Linked DNA regions of Macaca fascicularis. The protein of the gene in region 1 interacts with the protein of each later gene in a pairwise test. Links are inferred from orthologs where the notes say so. Each region holds a gene or a part of one and is shown in the gene's direction. Other genes may lie near its edges. The genes, in order: WWP2, RNF11, ENTREP1, ANKRD44, ATN1, PDLIM7 and galectin-9B-like.

Region 1 (4,069 bases):
AGGTGCATTTTTAGAGGCAGGACCAGGTTCACAGGGAAAGAAATTACAAAACGCAGGACTGTGCCCCAGATGAGGCAACAGCTTTCTAAATCTTAGCGCTGTCCAGTCTCAGAGTGAGATTATTTGGGAAATAGCTCTCAGTCCCTGCAGTTGTCTCAGCTGGTTATTTATGCCTTGGGTGGAGCTGGGTTGACCTCTAAGTTCCCCTAGGGCTGATGGCCGAGTGGGGAGGCTCTATCACTGAAATGGACCCAATACTAGAAACGGATCCTGTACGAGCTGATCAGGTTTGCCTAATCCAAGGGCCTCAATGGAAAATACCTCCCAAGGCCAGGCACAGCTGCTCACGTCAGTAATCCCAGCACTTGGGGAGGACGAGGTGGGCGGATCACCTGAGGTCGGGAGTTTGAGACCACGCTGGCCAACATGGCGAAACCCCGTCTCTACTAAAAATATTAAAACTAGCTATGCATGGTGGCGCACTCCTGTAATCCCAGCTACTCGGGAGGCTGAGATGGGAGAATCGCTTGAACCCGGGAGGCGGAAGTTGCGGTGAGCTGAGATAGCACCATTGCACTCCAGCCTGGGCGACAAGAGCAAAGCTCAGTCTCAAACAAAACAAAACAATACAAAACAAAACAACAAAACCTGAGCCTGGCAGCTTGGAGCCGGTTCTGGTCTCTGTCAAACTAAAGGTATCGGTTTCCTCCACTCCTGTCCACCAATCACCAGATATTCTCATTTTCTTCAGAAGCTCGGAATCCACATTTTTAAGTGAAATCACCCATTTTAATGTTTGCAACTTAATTCAAATTGGTTTAAATACTATAGCCCGAAAGAGGTATGGGCTGTGACCGTAAGCCTGATTTGGCCTCCAGCGGCCAGTTTCTGACCCCAGTTTTGGAGGGAATTCCTGCGTCCAAGGTCAGGTTTCTCCTAAATGCCCACTGGAGTTCGTGGGGGTGGAGTGAGGAAGGATCCACAACTCCGGATACAAACAGAAGCTCTCCTTCTCCCGGAGTCCCATCAAGGCTCATCCCAGGACCCTAATCTCTTCCCTTTGTGGGTTTTGACTCAAGGAACAAAACTCAGGGCCAAACCCATACAACCTCCTCCACAGGCACCAGGACTCCGGAGACCAAGCGCCTCGCCCTTTCCAGCACTCACCGACCATGGCGCTGGTGCAGTCCAGGGCGCTGATTGGCTGGACTCGTGCTTGCCGGGGCGACCCTGGCCGGGACTAGGCTCTCACTGGGCCGGGCGACTCCAGCGGCAACCTTGCAGGAGTCGTGTGTGTGGTGCGCGGTGCAGTCTCTCTCATATATCCTGCGCGGCTCATTTGAGTTGGACGTCAACAAGGGCGGGACCCAACGCCTGTATCCTGAGGTGCTGGGCTAGAGGATGCCAAGGCTGCAGCTCCAGGAAGGGAGGGAGCCTGGGGGGTGAAGGAGGAGCCCCTCCACTCCCACCCGCCCCGCCTGAGCAACTGGTGGAAGTCAAGAAAAGTCTCTGGGGGCTGGAAGAGGGGTTCGTGGGGGTGTGTGACAGAGGCCTCAAAAATCTGGCTGGAGGGGCTAAGGCAAGCCCATCTGCGCACTGTGCCCTGAGGTGCAAGGGGATGCAGGGTGGAAGTTGTTCCCAAGAGAGTCCAGGGATCGAGTGGGCCTGCCCTTTGAGCCTTGGCACGAAGTGGAGCAGAAAAAAAGCCGGATGCAGATTACTGTGGTGCCCCAGGCTCAGATTCTGCTGAGTCACTGTGACTGTGGATTTGGAAGGCTGAGAGCACTGGGGAGACATGTTCCGTGGAGATGAATTTGTTTCTTCCTTTGCAAGATTCAGATTCTGCACTTGGGGGCCCATACAACACACTTCCCTGGGTGCATGCCGCTGCACCACCCCTGCTCCTCAAGGCAGGTAATGGGGGAACTAATTGGTTTTGTTTCCCATGAGCTAAAGCAAGGCTGGTGTGGAGATAGCAGTTATAGGGAGGCATATTAAAGAATAGCCAAAACGGAGCCAGGCGCGGTGGCTCATGCCTATAATCCCAGCACTTTGGGAGGCTGAGGTGGGCGGATCACCTGAGGTCATGAGTTCGAGACCAGCCTGGCCAACCTGGGGAAACCCTGTCTGTACTAAAAATACAAAAATTAGCCGGGCATGATGGCGGGTGCCTGTAGTCCCAGCTACTCGGGAGGCAGAGCAGGGAGAATCGCTTGAACCCAGGAGGCGGAGGTTGCAGTGGATCGAGATCGAGCCACTGCACTCCCACCTGGGTGACAAAGCGAGACTCCGTCTCCAAAAAAAAATCTCTATAAAGAAAAAGTTAAAGATGTCAATGAAGGAAAAAGAACTAGAGCTTTAAAGTGGTAATGAACCATCACAAGAATTACAGATGGGGAAGGTGAGGATGACACAGGGCCCTTCCATTGTCCCTCCAGTGCAAAAGTTAAGGAGGTACCAGAATACTGGTGTCCAACTCCCGACTTTAGGTGATCCTAGCAGCTCAGCCTCCCAAAGTGCTGGGATTACAGGCATGAGCTACCGCGCCGGGCCCCATCATGACATTTTTGCATTCATTTTGATGCAACAAGAGAGGACTGTGTATTTACGAATTATTTTGGGAGGCCTAGGCAGGAGGATCACTTGAGCCCAGGAGTTTGCAATAAGCCTGAGCAACAAAGTGAGACCCCATCTGACAAAATAGTATAAAAGGACCTTTTAAAAAAGGGCTAGGCAGCCCTGTCCAATAGAACTTTTCCTATCTGTGCTGCCCAAGTAAGGTAGCAGCAAGCTTCAAGTAGCTATTGAGCACTGGAAATGTGGCCAGCAGCCAGGCGTGGTGGCAGGCGCCTGTGGTCCCAGCTACTCAGGATCTAAGGGGAAAAGATCACTTGAGCCCAGGAGTTCACGGCCGCAGTGGTGCACTTAAAAAAATAGGAAAAAAAAAAAAGTGGCCAGTGGACTGAGGAAGTGAAGTTTTAATTTTAATTACATTGGTTTTTTAAAACTTTATTTTTTGAGGCAGAGTTTTGCTGTGTTGCCCAGGCTGGAGTGTAGCGGCAGGTTCTTGGCTCACTGCAATCTCCATCTCCACAAGCAATTCTTGTGCCTCAGCTTCCCGAGTAGCTAGGACCACAGGCATGTGCCACCACACTCAGCCACGTTTTGTATTATTAGTAGAGATGGGTTTCACCATGTTGGCCAGGTTGGTCTCCAACTCCTGACCTCAGGTGATCCACCCACCTCGGCCTCCCAAAGTGCTAGGATTACAGGCATGTACCACTGCGCGTGGCCTTAATTAATTTAAATTTAGATAGCCAAATGTCACTAGTGTCTGGAAAGACCTGAGCTGATTCAGATCGAGGCCGCAGTGTGCTGGCTAGTCTATCTCCCACTCTTCTAGTGAGATTGTTTTCTCGATCTCCAGTCTCCCCAACCCATCTGGAGGTGGGGCTCAAAGCCCCAAACCTCGAGTGTCATATTCGGTCTTTGGTTTGCAGCATGACCAGCTCCCATCCTCAGTCATCTTGTTAACATGAACTATATAGGGGCCCACCCCAAGTCATCTCATTTAGCATAAACTGTCAGGAGTGGTCTGAGAGGCCCACAATGAATAAGATGGACATTCCTATCATTTGGGATTTAGAGGCTCAGGGGCATGATGATAGTTCACTGCAGCCTCAACCTTCTGGGGTCAAGCAATCCTCCTGCCCCAGCCTCCTGAGTAGCTGAGACAACAGGTGCATGCCACCATGCCTGGCTGATCTTTATTTATTTATTTTTGGTAGACACAGGGTCTCACTATGGTGCCCAAGCTGCTCTCAAACTCCTGGGCTCATGTGATCCTCGCGCTTTGATCTCCCAAAGTACTGGAGTTACAGGTATGTGCCACCACTCCTGGCCAAATTTGTTACTACACAGTGGTAAAGACAGACATCTGAGGTCGCAGTGAGCCGAGATCGCGCCACTGCACTCCAGCCTGGGTGACAGAGGGAGATCCTGTCTCAAAAGAAAAAAAAAAAAAGAAACTTAGTGGCCAGGCACAGTGGCTCAGGCCTATAATCCCAGC
Region 2 (2,707 bases), on another chromosome or scaffold:
GTTTCATCATAAAGTAGAACTTTCCTTTTCTGTTCTGCTTTCTGTATTCTCTACACATATGTGAAGAGACTGAGACACAAGACTGAAGAAATCTAGCCTCTGAAAAACCCATAGTTGGCGTTTATTTGCTCTAAAACAATTTAGTTATTTTTGTTTGTTAGATTCAAGGATTTAAGAGACCCTTTATATCATCCAAAGTCTTAAACCAGTTTGTTCCCAGTTTGCATGTGGATGACAGTTCATCAAAACTGGTCAACTAGGACTGAGACTAAGATTCAGGAAGTTAGTCTAGACTGGAAATAGTAATTCAAGGGTCGAAGAACTCAGAGCTGGCAGAGATCACAACAGAGGCTAAGAGTTTGTAGTATTCAAAGAGAAGCCAGAAAGTTAGGACCAAAGCCAAGGACAGTAGCACTTAGCTTAAAGTCTGCAAAGCGGAGAATCATGATGAGTAGAATCATGACGATGGGGAGATGTTAGATAGAATAATTTACAAATATTGGCATTTACAAAGCTCTTAGTTACCTCATGACTGTATCAGCTCTCTGAAGTGGGTGCTGTTATCTGCTTTATTCAAATACATTATTCAAATACATTAAGGGACTTGGTCCAAGCAATCACAGTAAGTAGCTGAGCGGAGACTGAAATCTCATAATTTAATTCTTCAGACTGAAAATCTCATCTTCTGAGATAGTAGTGTTTTTCAGACTGTTGATTCTGAGGATTCTGCAAAGGTAACCAAGGTGAGGGCTTGCGGATGGGGAGCCTCATCCCTCCTAGGCCACACTCCATCCCAGCTTCATTCCATCAGAGTTGCTCAGTTTTAAATATTATTATTATAGGCCAGGCACCATGGCTTACCCCTATGGTCCCACTACTCAGGAGGCTGAGGTTGGAGGATTGCTTGAGCCCGAGAGGTTGAGTTTATAGTAAGTTGTGTTTGTGCCACTGCATTTAAGCCTGGGCAACAGAGGGAGACCCTGTCTCAAATAAAAGGTGGGGGTTATACATATGACTCCTTTGAATGAATTGTGTAAAAAATCCATTGGATTAGGAGCAGTAGAATTCTAATTTCAGTATTGTCAATTATGTGACTGTAGGCAAGCTTGGTCCTATGAAATGGGAAAGTGAGTCTTAGATGACTTTCAGATTTATTTTTGCCATAGTCCAATCCATTAAAAAATTTTTTTCAAATTATTTTTAGAGATAGGGTCTTGCTATGTTGTCCAGGCTAGTCTCTTATCACATGGAAATAGTTCATTTAACATTGCATGCCAGCTCTTCAGTGATGTTTGTGTTTATATCCTTTAGGCAGAATGAGAATGTTTTGTTGTATGTTTTGTTCCAATAGCTGAAGTTGAGGCAGGGTGAAACACACAGTCAATACAGCCACACACTAGCCCAGCTTCCTGCCCTCCCAGGGCTCCCTTTCCCTTCTATCTCTGACTAAAAAATAAGCCCTCAAAAGGTTTTGAAAAAATAATCTTTTTCCTCCATATTTTAATATTTTAGGAACAAGTTCCAGTTCCAGTCTACCACCCAACACCTAGCCAGACTCGGCTAGCAACTCAGCTGACTGAAGAGGAACAAATTAGGATAGCTCAAAGAATAGGCCTTATACAACATCTGCCTAAAGGAGTTTATGACCCTGGAAGAGATGGATCAGAAAAAAAGATCCGGGAGTAAGTTTTAATTAATTTGTACATTTCAAAATTTTATTTTCAGGTTGCTTTTGAAAATTTTGCCTTTTCTCCTGCACTTTAGAAAGTCAGACATTTAATATGTTGAAACACTTTGCTTAATGCAAGAGAATGTTTAATTTTTTTTCATAGCTCTATTACTGGCTACTAGCAAGAGAATGTTATATAGTAATTACAAATTTTCACAGGCTGGGCACAGTGCCTCACACCTGTAATCCCAGCATGTTTGGAGGCTGAGGTGGGCAGATCACTTGAGACCAGGAGTTCAAGACCAACCTGGCCAACATGGTGAAACCTCATCTCTAATAAAAATACGAAAATTTGCCAGGCATGGTGGCACATGCCTGTAATCCCAGCTACTCGGGAGGCTGAGGTGGGAGAATCACTTGAAACTCTGTCTCAAAAAATAAAATTAAATTAAATTAATAAATAAAGAGAAAGTTAGTGAAGAGAGCTTTAACTTTCAGCAACCCAGTAAGTAGGCTGAAGTTAGTGTTTCTGTTTTACAGTTATTAAAATGAAAATTGTCTTAGTCCAGGATTACACTAAATAGTGCAAAAAAACAAAGTTGATCTAACTGATGCTTTTCTACCTAAAATAATCCCATTCTCCTTAAGGTATCTGCTATAGTATGTAGCTGTTTACAAGCACAGCAGTAAACTTGATCCATATGTAATCCATTTCTCTTTGCTCTGTTGATTGCTCCTAAGTCCTGCAAATTCTCGGGGGATTTAAATAAGAAATTGTGTATAGATCAACATTAGGAAAAAATTCAGTTTGCATGCTTTGGTGATAAGATGACAGGCAAAGCATTCTGATGTGTTACTCAGATTAACACTGTCTTTAATGGGATTTAAACAGTTTTCTGAATAGGACACTTCCGAAAATGCCTTCTGATTTCTCTCCATTGCTCCCAACAGGTGTGTGATCTGTATGATGGACTTTGTTTATGGGGACCCAATTCGATTTCTGCCGTGCATGCACATCTATCACCTGGACTGTATAGA
Region 3 (4,096 bases), on another chromosome or scaffold:
CAGTCTGTAAAGGAAGTCCTAGGCACCATTAATGACATGTGCTTTAATAATTTAAGAAGTGTATATGTAAACTTGGGCACATTGACAGTATATCACATTGTGGATTAAAGTGTAACGACCAATATAAATACAGCTTCCACAAACAGAGTATAAAAACTGACACACACTTTTCTTGGTTTATTGGGTGGGAGGATGTTAAATACCTTAGGATAAGATAAGTTTTCTAATACTGGAACTGACTAACTGCCAAGAACACTGCTGTGGTTCTTATCAGGAAAAAAAGTCTATTATAATCATTTTAGGTACGAAACTTTCTACGCATTAGAATTCTTCCAAGGTGAAAAGATATTACTAAGGGAATTCATTTTGCAAAGAGGAATCATCTTTTTTTTTTTCTCTAAAGATTTTTCATATATTACCAAAATAGTTTAGGATTTTATTAGGATATTTCCTCGGAAGTTTGGGGGTTCCGTGTTCTACCAGGTGATGCCTAATAGATGCCTGATACCGCTCATGAGTCAATAAGAGGAGGATAGAGCGTAATCCTTGCCATGCGCTCCGGGCTGCCCCGGGTACTTTCTTTACGGATGCTGGATGCTTCCAAGGTAACCCAGTCCTTTCATTCCCGCTCCTACCGAGATGCCGGGAAAGCATTCCCGGGCTGATGCGGGGTAGGCAGGTCCTGCGCCCTGCGAGCCGTAACTGCGCTCGGCGTCGTCCTTCCCGAAGTCCTTGGCTTACGCCTCTTCCCATCGAGTCGCCCCAAAGCCCCTCCTCCAGCCATCCCCCTCCTTGTGGGGGCAAAAGTTTAAGGGCGGGCTCCCTTCTCATTAAAGCGCGCCGGGGCCTCTTTAGTGGCTGGACTGTAAACGGGTCCGAGGGTCCACGGCGCTTTCCTCGCTCTTCTCTAGCCCCAGCTCGGCGGGTGGGGACAGACGCTGAGACTGTCGGTGGCCGGCGCTGACGCGTCCTGGCCGTAGGGTGCCTCCCAGCTCGAGGGACTTATTTAAATATTTGGGGCAGGGCACCCTGCCAGGACCCCAGGAAGCCGGCGCAGATTTGGCGGGGACCCCGAGGCTGTGGCGCACTTGCCCCAGCGCAGCGCGAGCACTGGGTGCGCGTGGGTGAGAGTGAGGTTGCGCCCGGGGCCAGCAGGAGGCGGACCCGCCAGGCGGCAGGTGGGTGCGGCCGGCTGGAGCCAGGGCAGCGGCGGCGGCGGCAGCGGCGGCAGCAAGTGGTTGGGCCGTGCGCATTTCCTTCCCTCCCCCTCGGCCTCGGAGCCCGCCCGCGGTGCCCAGTGTGCGGCGCCTTCGGCTCCGCTCAGCGTCCCCTCCCCGCCACCGCCGGCCGCACCCTTCACGGTCCGTCCATGTCCCTGCCGGTGGTGCTCCCGGGCTCCTGCTGCCCCGTGGCTGGGCTTTCGGGTGGGCCGCAGACCGGGGGCCCGGGCGCCGCCGCCGCCGCCGCCCAGGAGCCGCCGCTGCCCCCGCTGCGGCCGCGCTGGCCCCGGGGCGCGCTGCAGCCCCCGTCGCGGCCTCGCTGCGCGGCCACCGCTGCCGCCGGGGTTCTGGCCGCGCCGCCGGCGCTCTCCTCCCGCCGGGCAGCCGCCGCCGCTGCCGCCGCGGCCCCGGGCTCTGCGCTGTTGCCCGCCCGCCCGCTGCTGTCACTCGGGCTGCTGCAGCTGATCCTGGGCTGCTGCATGGTGGCGCTCAGCTTCGGGGCGCTGTCGCTGAGCAGCTCTCCGCAGGTGAAGAACTCGTGCCCGTTCTGGGCCGGCTCCTCGGTGAGTACCGCGCGCGCGCCCCGCTAGCCCGGTCATCCCGTGGATAGGGGGCTCTGGTCGTACCCTTTCATTGTCCCTTAGTTGGCCTCCAGAGCTGCAGTTGGGGGAGCCTTAACGCCATCTGAAGTTTTTGGAGCCTGGAGAAAAATGTTCCGCGACGGTCGAGTTCAGGGGTGAATTGGGCTGCACCTGGGTAGTGTCTGTTGCGCGCAGGCTGAAGGATTTTATTGTCCCAGTTAAGCTAATAGAATTAAGCAAAGACACCCAGCTCTTTGGGAGATTGGAAGGACAGGGTGTGGGTGGCAGGAAAGTGGGAGGAAAGTGATTAAACTTCTTTTGGTCGTTGAATATTTGCTGCACTGACAACGTCTGTGCTGGGAGGGCAGGGATTTTGATCATTTTTGTTCACCGATGTATCAAGAATGCCTGGCACATAGTAGGAGTATTTGTGGGATGGGACAGTTTCGGACACATCGCTTGTTTTATTCTCCATTAAGACACACATAAATGTGAAATGTGTAGGGTGGCTCGATCCCCAGACGAGTTCAGGAGGTAATGAGAGGGTGTGTGTGAACTGGCGCTTGTACCTGGTCATTAAAGGAGGGCCTTAACCCCACTTGGTTCCTGGAGCCATGCAGGCTGCTGTGCAGAATTCAGTTTGTGAGAACCGGGACCTGTCATTAGGGACGAGCTGGCCAAAGGTCCTGGAGCACGCAGCAGCTAGCTAGAGATGTCTGCTCTCCAGGACCCACTCCTCCAACCGGGAACGCTGAGCCTGGGGCCAAAGAGTGCCCAACTTCAGAGAAAAGCTGCTGCCAGCCAGTATCTACGGACACCGGGTGGTCACTCCCCTCTACCTCCTAACAATCGCACAATGTCCAAGGCATGTAACCCCCTGAAGTTCTCTGGGTGTTGAGAGACTTGGAAACACATCTTTGTGGGATGACTATGGAAGATGAGTAAAGTAAATAACCTTCCTTTATATCTTTTTTTTTTTAATTTTTAATTTTTATTTTTTATTTTTAAGGGACGGAGTTTCCCCATGTTGCCCAGGCTGGCTTCCAACTCCTGAGCTCAAGTGATTCTCCTGCCTCGGCCTCCCAAAATGTGGGGATTAGAGGCATGAACCACCACAGCCGGCCGTAAATAACCTTTCTATGAACTCACTGTGTAAATCTGAAAGTCTAGCAATGCTGCTAGTTTTTAGTAAGATCTGTAATCAGTGTATGTCCTGAATGGTAAGAACTGCTTTTGCAGTTTCACACATACGGCAATTCAAGACCAAACTGAAAAAAAGGACTCGAAGAACTAGTTGAACCCAAAGTAATTGTTTAAATAAGAACATTAGGTTCCTTGAGACTCGCCTGAAATTGTATACTTCATCCAGTGCCAATTTGCTTTCCTTTTGAAATACTTTCATGTTGAATGATCTTATTGGGGTACATGCTGTGCTGTGGTGAGGGAAGACCACGATTTGTGCCTCATGTAGAAAAAATGCCACCCTAGTGGCCCTGCCTGTGGGCTCTGCCGCTGGCCTCCATGAGTGTTCAGGAAAACTCCAGAAGGATGGATATTCCAGATGGGGTAGGAATTAGACCTGTTATGCTACCTATTCTACTTGTCTGACTAAATCCAGCCAAAGAGTGGGTGCATTTCGTTTCTCTAAATACTATGGGCCAGTAATAATCTTGCATATATTTTTAGGAATTTGCTCTTCATAAAATCGTGATCTATTGTCTTCTCAAACATAGCTAGTTTAGAATTATTAAAAACTATTTTTTGTCTTATAAAATTAAAAGCTGATATCATTTACTATTGTGAATCATTTCAGAGGTAAATGCACTTAGATATCAGTCAAGCCACAGTTGAATTTGATGAAGTACCAAAAAAAAAAAAAAGAAGAAAAGAAAAGAAAAAAGGCCTTCAACCAGAAGGTGAAGGTTAATACTCCTGGTCTGGGCCGGGCGCGGTGGCTCATGCCTGGAATCCCAGCACTTTGGGGGGCCGAGGCGGGCGGATCACGAGGTCAGGATATCGAGACCATCCTGGCTAACACGGTGAAACCCCGTCTCTACTAAAAAATACAGAAAAAAAAAAAACTAGCCGGGCGAGGTGGCGGGCGCCTGGAGTCCCAGCTACTCGGGAGGCTGAGGCAGGAGAAAGGCGTGAACCCGGGAGGCGGAGCTTGCAGTGAGCCGAGATCGCGCTGCTGCACTCCAGCCTGGGCGACAGAGCCAGACTCCGTCTCAAAAAAAATAAAAAAATAAAAAAATAAAATAAAATAAAATAAAATAAATAGATAAATACTCCTGG
Region 4 (3,500 bases), on another chromosome or scaffold:
CTTCTACCCTTCAATTTTCAGCCGCATTTAGAGCAGTGATCCTGAAGCACTGAACAGTCTTCAGTGCTGAAAGAAAGGTCAAATATGCTTTTTTGTTTGTTTGTTTATTTATTTATTTTTTGATACAGGGTCTTGCTCTGTTGCCCAGGCAGGAGTGCAGTGGTGCTATGTCGGCTCACTGCAGCCTCCGCCTCCCAGGTTCAAACGATTCTCGTGCCTCAGCCTCCTGAACAGCTGGCACTACAGGCGTGTGCCACCACACCCAACTAAGTTTTTAGTAAAGACAGGGTTTTAGTAGAGTATTCTTAGTAGAGACAGGATTTCACCATGTTGTGCAGGCTAATTCTATATATGGTGAATTATGGAACAGAGTAAAATATTGTAGAAAAGAATGCTAACAGGAGCTAAAACTAGAAGGGTTTTCTGTTTGGCCTCTAATTCATGAGGATACTTTTAAGTTGAGCCATATGAAATTGCCATTTTTGTGGGTCCAAATACAGTTAAGCAGTAGTAATTTTGTATGATTAAACAGTAATCTATGGTCATTTTCATTATTTTTTTTCTTTTATCAGTTTTTCCTAACTGAATTGTCATTGTTAAACTTTTCAGTGAGGAATGGCAATTGTTTTCAAAAGCATTGCTTTCATTTTAACACAACATTTTTTAAGGCTCTCTACTGATGTCTTGGCAAAACCTCACCATTATTCATTAGCATGGTAACAGGCATCACCTAGATCTCCTTGAAGAGAAGGCTCATATGAATCATCTTTTTTCTTCCCACAGCATTTACATTATGCCTGACTATAGGAGGTACTCAATAAATATTTGTTGAATAGCTGCCATGAATATTTTCCAGTTTTTACAAATAACTCAGCAAAATACTGGTGGCAATAAAAGCTAATGGTGATAATTTAGGTGAAATGAATCAGCAAATTGTCCTATAAAGGTTAACGATGTTTTCTGCTGCTTTGTTTGTAAAGGCCACCTGGATGTTGTGGCATTGCTCATTAACCATGGCGCAGAAGTGACCTGTAAGGATAAGAAGGGTTATACCCCTCTGCATGCTGCGGCCTCCAATGGACAGATCAATGTTGTCAAGCATCTCCTGAACCTGGGGGTGGAGGTGAGCTATAATGAATGCATCACTGCATGGCCTGTGTATTTGTGAGATTTCTGTTATTCTAAAGTTAAATCCTGTTTGCACTTTAATTCAAGGGCAGGGGAGTTGTTTTCTAGCATCCTGTCTTTTTAAGATTTTGTGGGCAACTGGTAAAGGGCAGTGGGGGCATACACTAAGCAGAGGAAAACTGGAAACTGAATAACTTTCTATATCAACATAGATAAATATATAGACATATAGATTCTATGTAATATTTATTAACCAGTTGTTTTTAAAGACTGGCCAAGGTTCTGCATCCCACCTTCCAAATGTAGCCTTCTAAGTCATGACTTACAGCAGAAATGAATGAATAAATGGCAGAGACAAACATCAGCAATGTCTGTTCTTGAGCTGGAGAAGTCGGACTGCTGCATTCTCCTTCTGCTGGTAGAACAGGAGCAGTGGTGAGGCTGGAACATCCTGTCCCCTAGGAAAGGAAAACCAAGTTGCTATACAACCATAATGATGAAACCAGGCACCCAGGGCAGGTCTCAGAAAGCAATAGGGGGCCATGGACGAAACACACCTCCTGACGGCACCACTGCTCTGCTACTAAAATGGAACCTGGTGAGGTGTCAGGCTCCAGAGCAAAACAGATATTAGGTTCTGACCTGCCTTCTGTGTTTAGGCTCCACAGCCACCTCTCCTGCCATCTCCGCAGCCACTACCTGCTATCCACTACCATTTCTTGAGGTTTGCTGTGCCCCAACCCTAGAGTGTGGGACTCTTTTTGTTCTCTTCTGATTTACTTCTCTTTTGGTGTTTTGAAAGCAGCTTTGCCCTTCACCTTCTATCCCTTTGTTAGCTGAAAAATACCTCTCCCCAGGATGAAACTTCTCTCTCTCCAGTTCATTTTTTGCCACATTAACGTTTTGCTGATCTTTACATGGGGTGACAAGCATTCCCAAGATGACCACGCTGGGGCAAGAGTAAGCTCTGAACAATTATATTGACGGATGGCTATTTCCTTTCTCTAGCCACAGCAATTATGCTTTTTGTGGAAAATGGAGTAAACTGGCTCCAATGACTTGAATCACCCTGTGTTGGACTCTTTTGCAGATTGATGAAATCAATGTCTATGGAAATACAGCGCTTCACATTGCCTGCTACAATGGACAGGATGCTGTGGTTAACGAGTTGATTGACTACGGTGCTAACGTGAACCAGCCAAACAATAATGGGTTCACCCCTTTGCATTTTGCTGCTGCCTCCACTCATGGTGCTTTGTGTCTTGAATTGTTAGTAAACAACGGGGCAGATGTTAACATTCAGGTATGACACTCTTGGTCTCTGTGTTGAATGCCTTTGCATTGAGCTTCTATTTGAGCAAAATCAACTGCTGCAAATGATACCATGTTTTAGTGAGTTGGAACCCTGAGCACTTTGACTCACACAGCCTTGTCCTGGATTTGGAGGCCATAAAAAAAGTTGTGTGGAAGCTGAGGTGGGTGGATCATGAGGTCAGGGGTTCAAGACCAACCTGGCGAAGATGGTGGAAACACCATCTCTACTAAAAATACAAAAATTAGCCAGGCGTGGTGGCGGGTGCCTGTAATCTCAGCTACTCGGGAGGCTGAAGCAGAGAATTGTTTGAACCCGGGAGGCGGAGGTTGCAGTGAGCTGAGATTGTGCCACTGCACTCTAACCTGGGCAACAGAGCAAGACTCCATCTCAAAAAAACAAAAAAACAGGTTGTGTTATTTTTATCCAGGAGTGGTGGTATCAGCTGAGAGGTACCAAGGCTCCAGCCGTGTGTTCTTGTTAGCTTAGTGAATGTGTCAGGACAAATACTGGATCTCTAGGATGTTGACTTGGCCCAGAAGCTAATACTGAAGTGAATGTTGAGCTGATAGAGCAGTGCTGCTAAGAATTCAAAGGGAGGCCTAATAATGATTGTGGGCCTGTTTCCAACTCCAGTGTGGGTTTAGAGCTTCTCAGATACCTTCTTCTTCTTTTTTTTTTTTTTTTTGAGACGGAATTTTGCTCTTGTCACCCAGGCTAGAATGCAATGGCGCGATCTCAGCTTACTGCAACCTCTGCCTCCTGGGTTCAAGCGATTCTTCTGCCTCAGCCTCCCCAGTAGCTGGGATTACAGGCACCCACCACCATGCCCAGCTAATTTTTTGTGTTATTAGTAGAGATCGTGTTTCACCATGTTGGCCAGGCTGGTCTCAAACTCTTGGCCTCAAGTGATCCACCTGCCTCAGCCTCCCAAAGTGCTGGGATTACAAGTGTGAGCCACTGTGCCTGGCCAATACCTTCTTAAAGCAAACCCCAAATAGTGGCTTCAGTGATGTAGCACTGAGCTGGTCATCACAATCATTCCTTTATTCCTCAAATT
Region 5 (4,268 bases), on another chromosome or scaffold:
TAAAGGTCAATCACAAGAAAAGTGCACACACGTATATATACGACATCAGTGGAAAGGAAGAAAAAATAAGAAAATACCATTTTTGCTCTCAGAAGATCTTACAATCAGTAATTTGGAGGGACTTGACACTTAGCAAGAAATACGAACAAGCGCAAATGAATATAGCTGGCTCTAGGGATTTGGATAAAGATAGATACCTGCCTACTTACTGATAGACAGATATGGATGGACTGGCTTGAGGAGCTGTGTAACCCCGTCTATACCAAGTAGGAGGACAGGCTTCAAAACTGGTAAATCTGTATTGTTTGCTCACGGATATTTTGAGTCTTTAATCATTCATGTGAAAACCCTGACTTTTCCTCTAGCCTTAGGGAGCTCAAGTACTAGAGAATGAGTCCTTTATGAGGCTCTCAAAAGTGAACTTCTACAATTTGGGGCTACCTAGGTTTAGTCTTGGGATTGGTAGGGCTGTGTTCCTTTGTATTATAGAATGGGACATTCTTCTTCTACCTACTCTGATGTGAGAAAAGATTCTTTTCATATCTCTGTGACTGATCTAGGCCTTCTGAGAATTCTCCCCACCAACTTCTGAGGAGAATATAGCAAAGTATAGAAGAAAGAGCATGGGCTTTGAAGTCACAGACGTGGGTTTGATTCTGGCTCTGTCACTGGTTCCTCACTGTGTGAGGTTGAGCTAGTCACAATCACCATCTTTGAGCCTCAGTTCCCTCACCTATATAATGAAGGTAATAATGCTTACCATTCAGGGTTGGTTGTAAATATTAAATGAAATCATGTGTGTGAAGGGCTTGATATAAAGAAGGTACTCAATAAATTAATACTTGAACGTCATTTTTTTTTTGAGACAGAGTTTCACTCTGTCACCCAGGCTGGAGTGCAGTGGCATGATCTCGGCTCACTGCAACCTCTGCTTCCCAGGTTCAAGTGATTTGCTTGCCTCAGCCTCCTGAGTAGCTGGGATTACAGGCACGCGCCACCACGCCTGGCTGGGTTTCACCATGTTGGCCAGGCTGGTCTTGAACTCCTGACCTTGCGATCCGTCCACCTCGGCCTCCCAAAGGGCTGGGATTATAGGCGTGAACCACCATGCCCCGCTCCATTTCTTTATGTTCCTTTGCAAGGCTCCGTGGAATGTGTGCGTTCACAAATATCCTTTAGGGATCATGAAGGGTCAAACTGTGTCATCTCCTGGATTGGAGCTTGTAGGTACATCTGAATTTTCTGCCCTCTACAGAGGTGAAAGAGATTATACTTTAAGCAGAATCTCCCTGCCTTTTAGATAGCTAAGGTGGCCCATGGGGCAAGCCAGCAATGTCTTGTGGTATCTGTACCTCTTGGCCTAAAGGCTTAGGGTTGGGCCGCTTGCTCAGTTCTCTGACAAGCGTAATAGTATTCCTTTGTGACTCTATTCTCCCAGTGGGAGACTCTGATGGTTTCCTTCTAACAGGTTTCACTGAAAACAGATCCTGCAAAAGTTCCAGGTGCCTATACTGGAAACTTGGAGATCCTGCTTCCCAGACCACAGCTGTGGGGAACTTGGGGTGGAGCAGAGAAGTTTCTGTATTCAGCTGCCCAGGCAGAGGAGAATGGGGTCTCCACAGCCTGAAGAATGAAGACACGACAGAATAAAGACTCGGTGAGTTAAAATGAGAGATGTGAAAGATGAGGGGCGGGGCAGGCAAGCTAGGAGGAAGGGTCTAGAGAAGAACAAATAATGTGCACCATAAAGTTAGCTGCAGTGTAAAGAACAGTGTTACCTACCTCCTTCCTCCTCCTGCAGATGTCAATGAGGAGTGGACGGAAGAAAGAGGCCCCTGGGCCCCGGGAAGAACTGAGATCGAGGGGCCGGGCCTCCCCTGGAGGGGTCAGCACGTCCAGCAGTGATGGCAAAGCTGAGAAGTCCAGGCAGACAGCCAAGGTATTCTGTCCTCAGGTCCTCCCACAGGATGCCCAGGCACTGGGGCTGAGGGGGTGTGTGTGTTGTCGGGGGAACTTCCTGTTTGGCAGAGGGTAACGGTGAAACTTGGGAGGTAGGGAAAAGACAGGAATTTTCTTTCTCTCTAACAGAAGGCCCGAGTAGAGGAAGCCTCCACCCCAAAGGTCAACAAGCAGGGTCGGAGTGAGGAGATCTCAGAGAGTGAAAGTGAGGAGACCAATGCACCAAAAAAGACCAAAACTGAGGTGGGAGACCCTTGTCGCCATCCTGACCCATCTTGTGATCATTCTTTTCTCAGATTTCCTTATGCTCACTATTCTTAGCTGGATCTCTCCTGGGACATAAGAGAAAGGCCAGATCATAGTGCTTATGAGAGCAGTTCTGTCTCTAATATGCCAGAGAGAGTCTTAGAACTTTGACAGACCACCAGATGACCTGGCAGGGCCAAAGGGGACCAGAAGAGTTGGGGGATTCTAGTCTCTGGGTGAGAAGTCTTAGTGGGAGGAACAAATAAATCTTAAGGAAAATGCAGAAGTGGTCTTTCTTTTTTATTGTTTTTTTTGGTTTGTTTTTGAGACAGAGTTTCGTTCTGTCACCCAGGCTGGAGTACAGTGGCACAATCTCAGCTCATTGCAACCTCCGCCTCCTGGGTTGAAGCAGTTGTGCCTCAGCCTCCCGAGTAGCTGGGATTATAGGCATGAGCCACCACGCCCGGCTAATTTTTGTAGTTTTAGTAGAGATAGGGTTTCACCATGTTGGCCAGGCTGGTTTGGAACTCCTGGCCTCAAGTGATCCTCCTGCTTCAGCCTCCCAAAGTGCTGGGATTACAGGTGTGAGCCTCTGTGCCCGGCCAGAAGTGGTCTAAGAACCAAGGGCTTGGGGGATGGAGGATGGTTAAAGTGGTGGTTATGAGATGGTGGAAGACAGGGATTTGGAGTCAGCTGTGGGTAAAGACAAGGTGCTTGAGATGGATCCTTGAGGAAGGAATAGGGTTTTATAGGAGAGAAACAAGACTGGCTGCTAAGGAGCAGCCAAGAATGTGGGGAAAGTGGGAAATCCCCAGATGGCAAGAGGTACTCACCACGTCACAGTACAACAGTGTGCTGTGAGGGGAAATGATTTTATGCAAGACAGGCCCTAAATCTCAGGGAAGCAGGAAAGGAAAAGAGAAAAAATGAGGCTTCCCTTTTCTACAGCAGGAACTCCCTCGGCCACAGTCTCCCTCTGATCTGGATAGCTTGGATGGGCGGAGCCTTAATGATGATGGCAGCAGCGACCCTAGGGATATTGACCAGGACAACCGAAGCACGTCCCCCAGCATCTACAGCCCTGGAAGTGTGGAGAATGACTCCGACTCATCTTCTGGCCTGTCCCAGGGCCCAGCCCGCCCCTACCACCCACCTCCACTCTTTCCTCCTTCCCCTCCACCGCCAGACAGCACCCCTCGACAGCCAGAGGCTAGCTTTGAACCCCATCCTTCTGTGACACCCACTGGATATCATGCTCCCATGGAGCCCCCCACATCTCGAATGTTCCAGGCTCCTCCTGGGGCCCCTCCCCCTCACCCACAGCTCTATCCTGGGGGCGCTGGTGGAGGAGTTTTGTCTGGACCCCCAATGGGTCCCAAGGGGGGAGGGGCTGCCTCATCAGTGGGGGGCCCTAATGGGGGTAAGCAGCACCCCCCACCCACTACTCCCATTTCAGTATCAAGCTCTGGGGCTAGCGGTGCTCCCCCAGCTAAGCCACCTAACACTCCGGTGGGTGGTGGGAACCTGCCTTCTGCTCCACCACCAGCCAACTTCCCCCATGTGACCCCGAACCTGCCTCCCCCACCTGCCCTGAGACCCCTCAACAATGCCTCAGCCTCTCCCCCTGGCCTGGGGGCCCAACCACTACCTGGGCATCTGCCCTCTCCCCATGCCATGGGGCAGGGTATGGGTGGACTTCCTCCTGGCCCAGAGAAGGGCCCGACTCTGGCTCCTTCACCCCACTCTCTGCCTCCTGCTTCCTCTTCTGCCCCAGCACCCCCCATGAGGTTTCCTTATTCATCCTCTAGTAGTAGCTCTGCAGCAGCCTCCTCTTCCAGTTCTTCCTCCTCTTCCTCTGCCTCCCCCTACCCAGCTTCCCAGGCATTGCCCAGTTACCCCCACTCTTTCCCTCCCCCAACAAGCCTCTCTGTCTCCAATCAGCCCCCCAAGTATACTCAGCCTTCTCTCCCATCCCAGGCTGTGTGGAGCCAGGGTCCCCCACCACCTCCTCCCTATGGCCGCCTCTTAGCCAACAGCAATGCCCATCCAGGCCCCTTCCCGCC
Region 6 (2,291 bases), on another chromosome or scaffold:
CTTCTGGGCCTTACGTTTTGGCTGGAAGAAGAGGGGAGAGGCAGACAGTAAGCAATAAGCGCAATAAGTAGACTGCCTGGAAGTAATGTTAGATCACATTATGGAAAACAGGAAAGAGTAGAGCAAGAAGCGCTTGGGCGTGGTGTAGGGAAGGCAGCTGGCTGCTACTCGTGTGGTCAGGGTGGGACCTCGTGGAGAAGACTGCACTCGAGCGGAAACTTGAAGGGGGTGAGGGGTGAGCCTTGAGATATCCGGGGCAGAGCAGTCCAGGCAGAGGGGACAGCCAGTGTCAAGCCCAGGACAGGAGCGTGCCGGGTGTGCCAATTTCAGGCAAGAGGCCAGTGTGCGAAGGCAAGGTGAGAACGCAAAGGAGAGCAGTGGGGGAGACAGGTGGGAACGAGGTCAGACCTGCTGGCCTCCAGCGTCTGCATGGGGCTTGGTTCTTGCTGGGAGAAATGGGAAGCGGTAAGGGGTTTCATGCAGGGGGATACAGCCTGTCTCGGGTTGCAGGGGTTGCAGGGGCCTGCTGCGGCAGCTGGGATCAGAGGGAGGAGCTGTAGGCCAGTTGTGTGTGATCCCAGGGGCCAGATCGCTGTGGCTCACCTCACATCAGGGAGGCTGTGAGCAGCACGCAGAATCTGGATATGCCTTGGGGGTGGGCCCCACTGGATTTCCTGGGGGACCTGGTGTGGGGTGTGGGAGGAGGGTGTGTTTGGCTGCAGCAAATGGGAGAATGGAGTTGCCATCCGTGTTACGGGGATGCCTGTGGGAGGAGAGGTTTGGGGCGAGGGGATCAGGAACTGAGTACTGGACATGGCAGGTCTGAAGGCGCAGTGGACGTCCACTCAGAGATCTTGGAGTTGGAGATGGAGGCATGGGAGTCCTGAACGGTTAGATGTAGTGTTTACTATGAGAAGGAACAGGGCCCGCGGCCAGCTGCCCTGTGTTCCCGTGACCCAGGGGAGGGCAGGAGGGGCCTGAGCCTGCCGAGTGACTGGCAGCTCCTTCCAGGAGATCATGCATGCCCTGAAGATGACCTGGCACGTGCACTGCTTCACCTGTGCCGCCTGCAAGACGCCCATCCGGAACAGGGCCTTCTACATGGAGGAGGGCGTGCCCTACTGCGAGCGAGGTACCCGCTGGCCAATGAGGGTGAGGAGGGATGGTGCATGGGGCAGGCATGAATCCAGGTCCCCTTCCTCTCTGCTCCCATCCTCAGACTATGAGAAGATGTTTGGCACGAAATGCCATGGCTGTGACTTCAAGATCGACGCTGGGGACCGCTTCCTGGAGGCGCTGGGCTTCAGCTGGCATGACACCTGCTTCGTCTGTGCGGTGAGAGCCCCGAGCCTTGGCCTCAGCCCCAAGTCCACCAGCCCTCTGTTCATTGCCTGGGGGATGCAGGAGAAGCTGGGAAGGGGCCTCTACTGCTGCCCCCAACCCCATGTGACTGGGTCTTTGCTGTCCTTAGATATGTCAGATCAACCTGGAAGGAAAGACCTTCTACTCCAAGAAGGACAGGCCCCTCTGCAAGAGCCATGCCTTCTCCCACGTGTGAGCCCCTCCTGCCCACAGCTGCCGCGGCGGCCCCAGAGCCATGGCCCGGCATTTCTGGGTAGGGCTGGCAATGGTTGCCTTAACCCGGCTCCTGGCCCGAGCCTGGGGTTCCCCAGCCCTGCCCCACCCGCCTTATCCTCCCACCCCACTCCCTCCACCACCACAGCACACCGGTGCTGGCCACACCGGCCCCCTTTCACCTCCAGTGCCACAATAAACCTGTACCCAGCTGTGTCTTGTGTGCCGTTCCCCTGTGCACCCGGAGGGGTAGAACTTGAGTCACGTGGCAGGGTGGAGAGTAAGAGGGGTTTCTTGGGCTGGCCATCTTGGTGGCCCTCGTGATGCGGACGTGGCAGGCTCATGGTTAGTGGAGGAGGTATAGGCGGGACCCCATGTGCCAGGCCTGGTGCCCACAGACATGAGGGACGCCACTGGTCTGGCCTGGCTTGGAGGTTAGAGAAGGGTAGTTAGGATGGGCGTGGTGGATCATGCCTGTAATCCCGGCACTTTGGGAGGCCAAGGCGGGCAGATCACTTGAGGTCAGGAGTTTGAGACCACTCCGGCTGACATGGAGAAACAACGTCTCTGGTAAAAATACAAAATTAGCTGAATGTGGTGGGGCGTGCCTGTAATCCCAGCTACTCAGGAGGCTAAGGTGGGAAAATTGCTTGAACCCGGGAGGTGGAGAGTGCAGTGAGCTGAGATCATACCGCTGCGCTCGAGCCTGGGTGGCA
Region 7 (3,500 bases), on another chromosome or scaffold:
GTTGCTTAATCTTTCTGAGCCTCACTGCCTCACCAGGAACACAGGAGCTGAGGCTGCTTCCCTCATTGGAAAGCACTGAAGCCCAGGAATCGACCCACAGCAGGCCTTCAACAAATACCCCTTCTCACCTTACGGGTGAGATATGGCACTGGAAGTAACGCTCTTAGCTGTGGGAGCTACAGAAAGCAGTGAGGTCTCTATCAAACCCAGCCTCCTCTCTCTCGGGAGGAACCAATGGGGATACCCTACCCCCCAACCCCAAAGCCCTGTGCACCTGGGGGTAAAAATCTGGGGGCCACGGGCTCAGGAAGGCTTGCTTGGGAGCAAGAGGGAGGCGGGTGTGTCTGGGGAGGCATTTCTGAGCACAAGAGCCTCCCTGGAGTTCTGCCATTGTCTCTTCCCGTTCTCTGGTGCCCGCCATAACCACCGTTCTGACTCTCCTCACCCCTCCAGCCTCCCGGCGTGCGGCCCGCCAACCCGGCTCCCATTGTAAGTCTCTTGCTTTCTTTTTGGATCCTCTTCATTTTGGCTCTTCTGGGCTCATGGAGGAGGCGGGGCCAGGCATTGGGCCTCTCCCATTGGGAGTGGGGAGGGCAGAGGCCAGGCCCTTGACCGTCTGCCCGGCCTGGCGAGGTGGGGGGTTGGATGTGGTTGGCTGGCCGTGATGAAACAACCTGAGTTGCCAGCCTGTGGGCAGCCACGGAAGACCGTGTCCCACATTCCCTTCTCCCACCTGCAAAGGGAGGCTAGGCTGAGAGACGTTTCCCTGAGAGGAAAGATGGGCCAGAGCCACCAGCGTCCCCATCTGTCTTCTCCAGGGTTCTAACCTTTGCCCTCCCTCATCCCCTTGAGAGAAGAAACAGCTGGACCCACCCTCTGTGGGGTCTGTGGGGCCATTGGGCTGATTACGCCCCCTGGAGGTGCCTGCCGTGTGGCGCCCTCTGGTGGGAGCTGGTGGTCTTCACATGGGAGAGCCTGGGTGAGACCTGGTTTCTTTCCTCCAGACCCAGACAGTCATCCACACGGTGCAGAGCGCCCCTGGACAGATGTTCTCTGTAAGTCTACAAGTTCTGGCCAGTTCACAGCTGCACAGTGTCCTCCTTCACCAAGAACTAAACTCCCTAGAGCCCCAGAGTCAGGAAGAAAGCGGTTTAGCAAGGAGGATGGGGACATCTGGGGCTGAGTCCTTGGCTCAGGTGACATGTGGCTAAAGCTGTTCTTGGGACAGCAGAGATTCTGCAAGAAGCAGGATTTATCCAGTGGTGGAAAAGGCAGGTCCCCTAGAGACCGGGAGGGAAACTGGTCCACCTGTCACCAAGTGGGGAGTGCAGTGGCCCCAGCACCCGGATGTGAGGTTCCTGGCCCTGCATCCTACGTTCCCCGGATGTCACTCCTGATCAAAGGCTTAAGCTCTTCTCCTGCTGGTGCAAATCAGGCCGGGAGTTTAGCGTTAGTGGGGCTGCCTGTGGAGAGGTTGAGGGGCAGGTGACCGTGGTGGGGTCCGGGAACACGGCAGGAAGTTCCAGGAAGGCTAACATGAAAAGGGAGGTGGATGGGAGAGTCCAAGGGCCAAAGCCTCACGAGGTCAGCCTCACAGTGGAGGCCCCTCTGGAATGCGTGGGTGCGCGTGGGTGAGTGCTCGTGCACACATGTGCTCTCCCATTGAATTTCCTGGTTTCTTTTCAACAGACTCCCGCCCTCCCACCTGTGATGTACCCCCACCCCGCCTATGTAAGTGGCTTCTCAGGGAGGGCGAAGGTTCTGTTTGTGGTGGGCAGGCTGGGGGTGAAGAGCCGCTGCAGGGGTATCCACTGGCCTTGAAAAATGAAAAGCGGTCCTTTGGTAAGCTGAAGGGCTTCAAAGCATCCCAGCGAAGTAGAAGACTGTAGAGAGGAGCTTTCAACCTTAAAACTGTCATGTCAATGTGAGCACATTGCATGGCCCTCCCTTTTCATCCCACGAGTCTTGTTGTGTTTGGCCAAAGTTCCTTTTGTGACACTAATCTAAGCCCATGAATTTGAGGAGCGCTGGAAAGTTTTCCTTTGGCTTTTAGGGAACCAAGTAAAGCTATTGCGGGCTTCCTCTCAGCTGACAGCCCAGAGTCATGGGAACTGGTACAGTCCTCCCCTTCCGTGTGGCAGCTGCCCTGGCTGCCACTGGCTGCTCTGTCCCCCTTCTTCCCACAGCCAATGCCTTTTGTCACCACCATTCCGGGAGGACTGTATCCATCCAAGTCCATCATCCTGTCGGGCACTGTCCTGCCCAGTGCTCAGAGGTAAGGCAAGGGCTCCAGTGACCTCTGGGAAGAGAGAGCCTTTCAAGGTCATTCCAGCCATTCCCCTGGCTTCGGGCAGGCTGCAGATGACAGGGAGGAAATGGGGCTCAGAACTCAGAGGATAAAGCTTCAGGTGGGCCGCCCACCCCAGGTTCCACATCAACCTGTGCTCTGGGAGCCACATCGCCTTCCACCTGAACCCCCGTTTTGATGAGAACGCTGTGGTCCGCAACACCCAGATCAACAACTGTTGGGGGTCTGAGGAGCGAAGTCTGCCCCGAAAAATGCCCTTCGTCCGAGGCCAGAGCTTCTCGGTGAGGCACCGCAGTCTGGAGCTCGGAGAGGCTCCTGTGGGTGCACAGGGGGAGGGGTAAAGGAGGTCTGGGGTGCCTTGAACAGGATGGGGGCAGATGCCTCTGGGATGAGGGCCCAGAAGAAGAGAAGGTGGCCAACAAATTATTATTATTATTATTATTATCATTATTATTATTATTATTACTATCCCACATGAAGGAAGTGTTGGGATCTGCTTTTTCAGATGAGGAAAGAAACTCACAAGTGCAGGTTACTTGCTTGTGGTCACACAGCCAGTAAGTGTCAAATCAGATCCAAGAAGGAGGTGTTTTTCATTTCTTCACTTATTCATTCAACAATGATTTTCCTGTGGCCCGCTTTGTGCAGGAAGCAGCCCGCGTGCTGGGGACGCAGTCATGAAGCAGGCAGACCGGGTCCTGCCTCCAGGGGGTTTACAGTTTAGGTGGGGAAGGAACGAGGAAAGTAAAGCATGGACAGATTGTCACAGATAACGACAGTGCCACACACAAAGCAAAACAGAGCGATGAGATAGAGCGAGCCTGGGAGGGGCAGCGAGGGCCAACGTGCAGAGGCACGGGTGTGGCCTGTCCAGGAACAGCAGGCAGGCGTGTCCGCCCTGACTACACATTCAAACCACCCAGGGAGCTTACAAAGGAAATATCAGCGCTGGGGCCCCAGCCCAGGCCAGCGAGGCGGTCAGCTGGGCATTCGCATTTTAAAAATATGCCTTAAGTGATTATACTCTGCAATCAGGGTTGAAAACGGCTGATGTAGGGCTTTGCAGCCATGGAAAGGAGCTTGGATTTTAACACAGTGAAAAGCCACAAAGGAGTGTTTCAAGCCAGGGAGCAACATTCTTTGATTTGTGGACAGCTGTGTGACCTCGGGCAAGTGACTTAACTACTCTGTG

The links.
Region 2: the proteins of WWP2 (region 1) and RNF11 interact in binary tests that used the Homo sapiens proteins (3 or more experiments, as listed by UniProt). The link is inferred for Macaca fascicularis from reciprocal best matches to the Homo sapiens genes WWP2 and RNF11.
Region 3: the proteins of WWP2 (region 1) and ENTREP1 interact in binary tests that used the Homo sapiens proteins (3 or more experiments, as listed by UniProt). The link is inferred for Macaca fascicularis from reciprocal best matches to the Homo sapiens genes WWP2 and ENTREP1.
Region 4: the proteins of WWP2 (region 1) and ANKRD44 interact in binary tests that used the Homo sapiens proteins (3 or more experiments, as listed by UniProt). The two-hybrid records come from large-scale screens. The link is inferred for Macaca fascicularis from reciprocal best matches to the Homo sapiens genes WWP2 and ANKRD44.
Region 5: the proteins of WWP2 (region 1) and ATN1 interact in a two-hybrid assay, tested with the Homo sapiens proteins (2 studies listed by BioGRID and IntAct). The link is inferred for Macaca fascicularis from reciprocal best matches to the Homo sapiens genes WWP2 and ATN1.
Region 6: the proteins of WWP2 (region 1) and PDLIM7 interact in binary tests that used the Homo sapiens proteins (3 or more experiments, as listed by UniProt). The link is inferred for Macaca fascicularis from reciprocal best matches to the Homo sapiens genes WWP2 and PDLIM7.
Region 7: the proteins of WWP2 (region 1) and galectin-9B-like interact in binary tests that used the Homo sapiens proteins (3 or more experiments, as listed by UniProt). The link is inferred for Macaca fascicularis from reciprocal best matches to the Homo sapiens genes WWP2 and LGALS9B.

What each region holds. Positions count from the first base shown.
Region 1 is NC_088394.1:65,839,996-65,844,064, forward strand, and holds the start of WWP2 (NEDD4-like E3 ubiquitin-protein ligase WWP2), read left to right. Parts: upstream 1-1,269; 5' UTR 1,270-1,881; coding exon 1,882-1,914; intron 1,915-4,069. Other genes in the region: NQO1 (NAD(P)H dehydrogenase [quinone] 1), read right to left, coding at 1,168-1,174. UniProt on the Homo sapiens protein: E3 ubiquitin-protein ligase which accepts ubiquitin from an E2 ubiquitin-conjugating enzyme in the form of a thioester and then directly transfers the ubiquitin to targeted substrates.
Region 2 is NC_088375.1:183,468,895-183,471,601, reverse strand, and holds part of RNF11 (RING finger protein 11), read left to right. Parts: intron 1-1,512; coding exon 1,513-1,682; intron 1,683-2,620; coding exon 2,621-2,707. UniProt on the Homo sapiens protein: Essential component of a ubiquitin-editing protein complex, comprising also TNFAIP3, ITCH and TAX1BP1, that ensures the transient nature of inflammatory signaling pathways. Promotes the association of TNFAIP3 to RIPK1 after TNF stimulation.
Region 3 is NC_088389.1:100,052,906-100,057,001, forward strand, and holds the start of ENTREP1 (endosomal transmembrane epsin interactor 1), read left to right. Parts: upstream 1-1,296; 5' UTR 1,297-1,369; coding exon 1,370-1,783; intron 1,784-4,096. UniProt on the Homo sapiens protein: Functions as an activator of the E3 ubiquitin protein ligase ITCH in the ubiquitination of the CXCL12-activated CXCR4 receptor. Thereby, triggers CXCR4 endocytosis and desensitization, negatively regulating the CXCL12/CXCR4 signaling pathway.
Region 4 is NC_088386.1:92,729,447-92,732,946, reverse strand, and holds part of ANKRD44 (serine/threonine-protein phosphatase 6 regulatory ankyrin repeat subunit B), read left to right. Parts: intron 1-980; coding exon 981-1,123; intron 1,124-2,218; coding exon 2,219-2,431; intron 2,432-3,500. UniProt on the Homo sapiens protein: Putative regulatory subunit of protein phosphatase 6 (PP6) that may be involved in the recognition of phosphoprotein substrates.
Region 5 is NC_088385.1:7,869,840-7,874,107, forward strand, and holds the start of ATN1 (atrophin-1), read left to right. Parts: upstream 1-1,468; 5' UTR 1,469-1,630; coding exon 1,631-1,657; intron 1,658-1,782; exon of another isoform or gene 1,783-1,801; coding exon 1,802-1,939; exon of another isoform or gene 1,940-2,017; intron 2,018-2,088; coding exon 2,089-2,202; intron 2,203-3,153; coding exon 3,154-4,268. UniProt on the Homo sapiens protein: Transcriptional corepressor. Recruits NR2E1 to repress transcription. Promotes vascular smooth cell (VSMC) migration and orientation. Corepressor of MTG8 transcriptional repression.
Region 6 is NC_088380.1:184,426,789-184,429,079, reverse strand, and holds the end of PDLIM7 (PDZ and LIM domain protein 7), read left to right. Parts: intron 1-1,011; coding exon 1,012-1,132; intron 1,133-1,219; coding exon 1,220-1,335; intron 1,336-1,471; coding exon 1,472-1,558; 3' UTR 1,559-1,791; downstream 1,792-2,291. UniProt on the Homo sapiens protein: May function as a scaffold on which the coordinated assembly of proteins can occur. May play a role as an adapter that, via its PDZ domain, localizes LIM-binding proteins to actin filaments of both skeletal muscle and nonmuscle tissues.
Region 7 is NC_088390.1:36,110,016-36,113,515, reverse strand, and holds part of galectin-9B-like, read left to right. Parts: intron 1-453; coding exon 454-489; intron 490-1,004; coding exon 1,005-1,055; intron 1,056-1,689; coding exon 1,690-1,731; intron 1,732-2,186; coding exon 2,187-2,275; intron 2,276-2,426; coding exon 2,427-2,589; intron 2,590-2,956; coding exon of another isoform or gene 2,957-2,989; exon of another isoform or gene 2,990-3,500.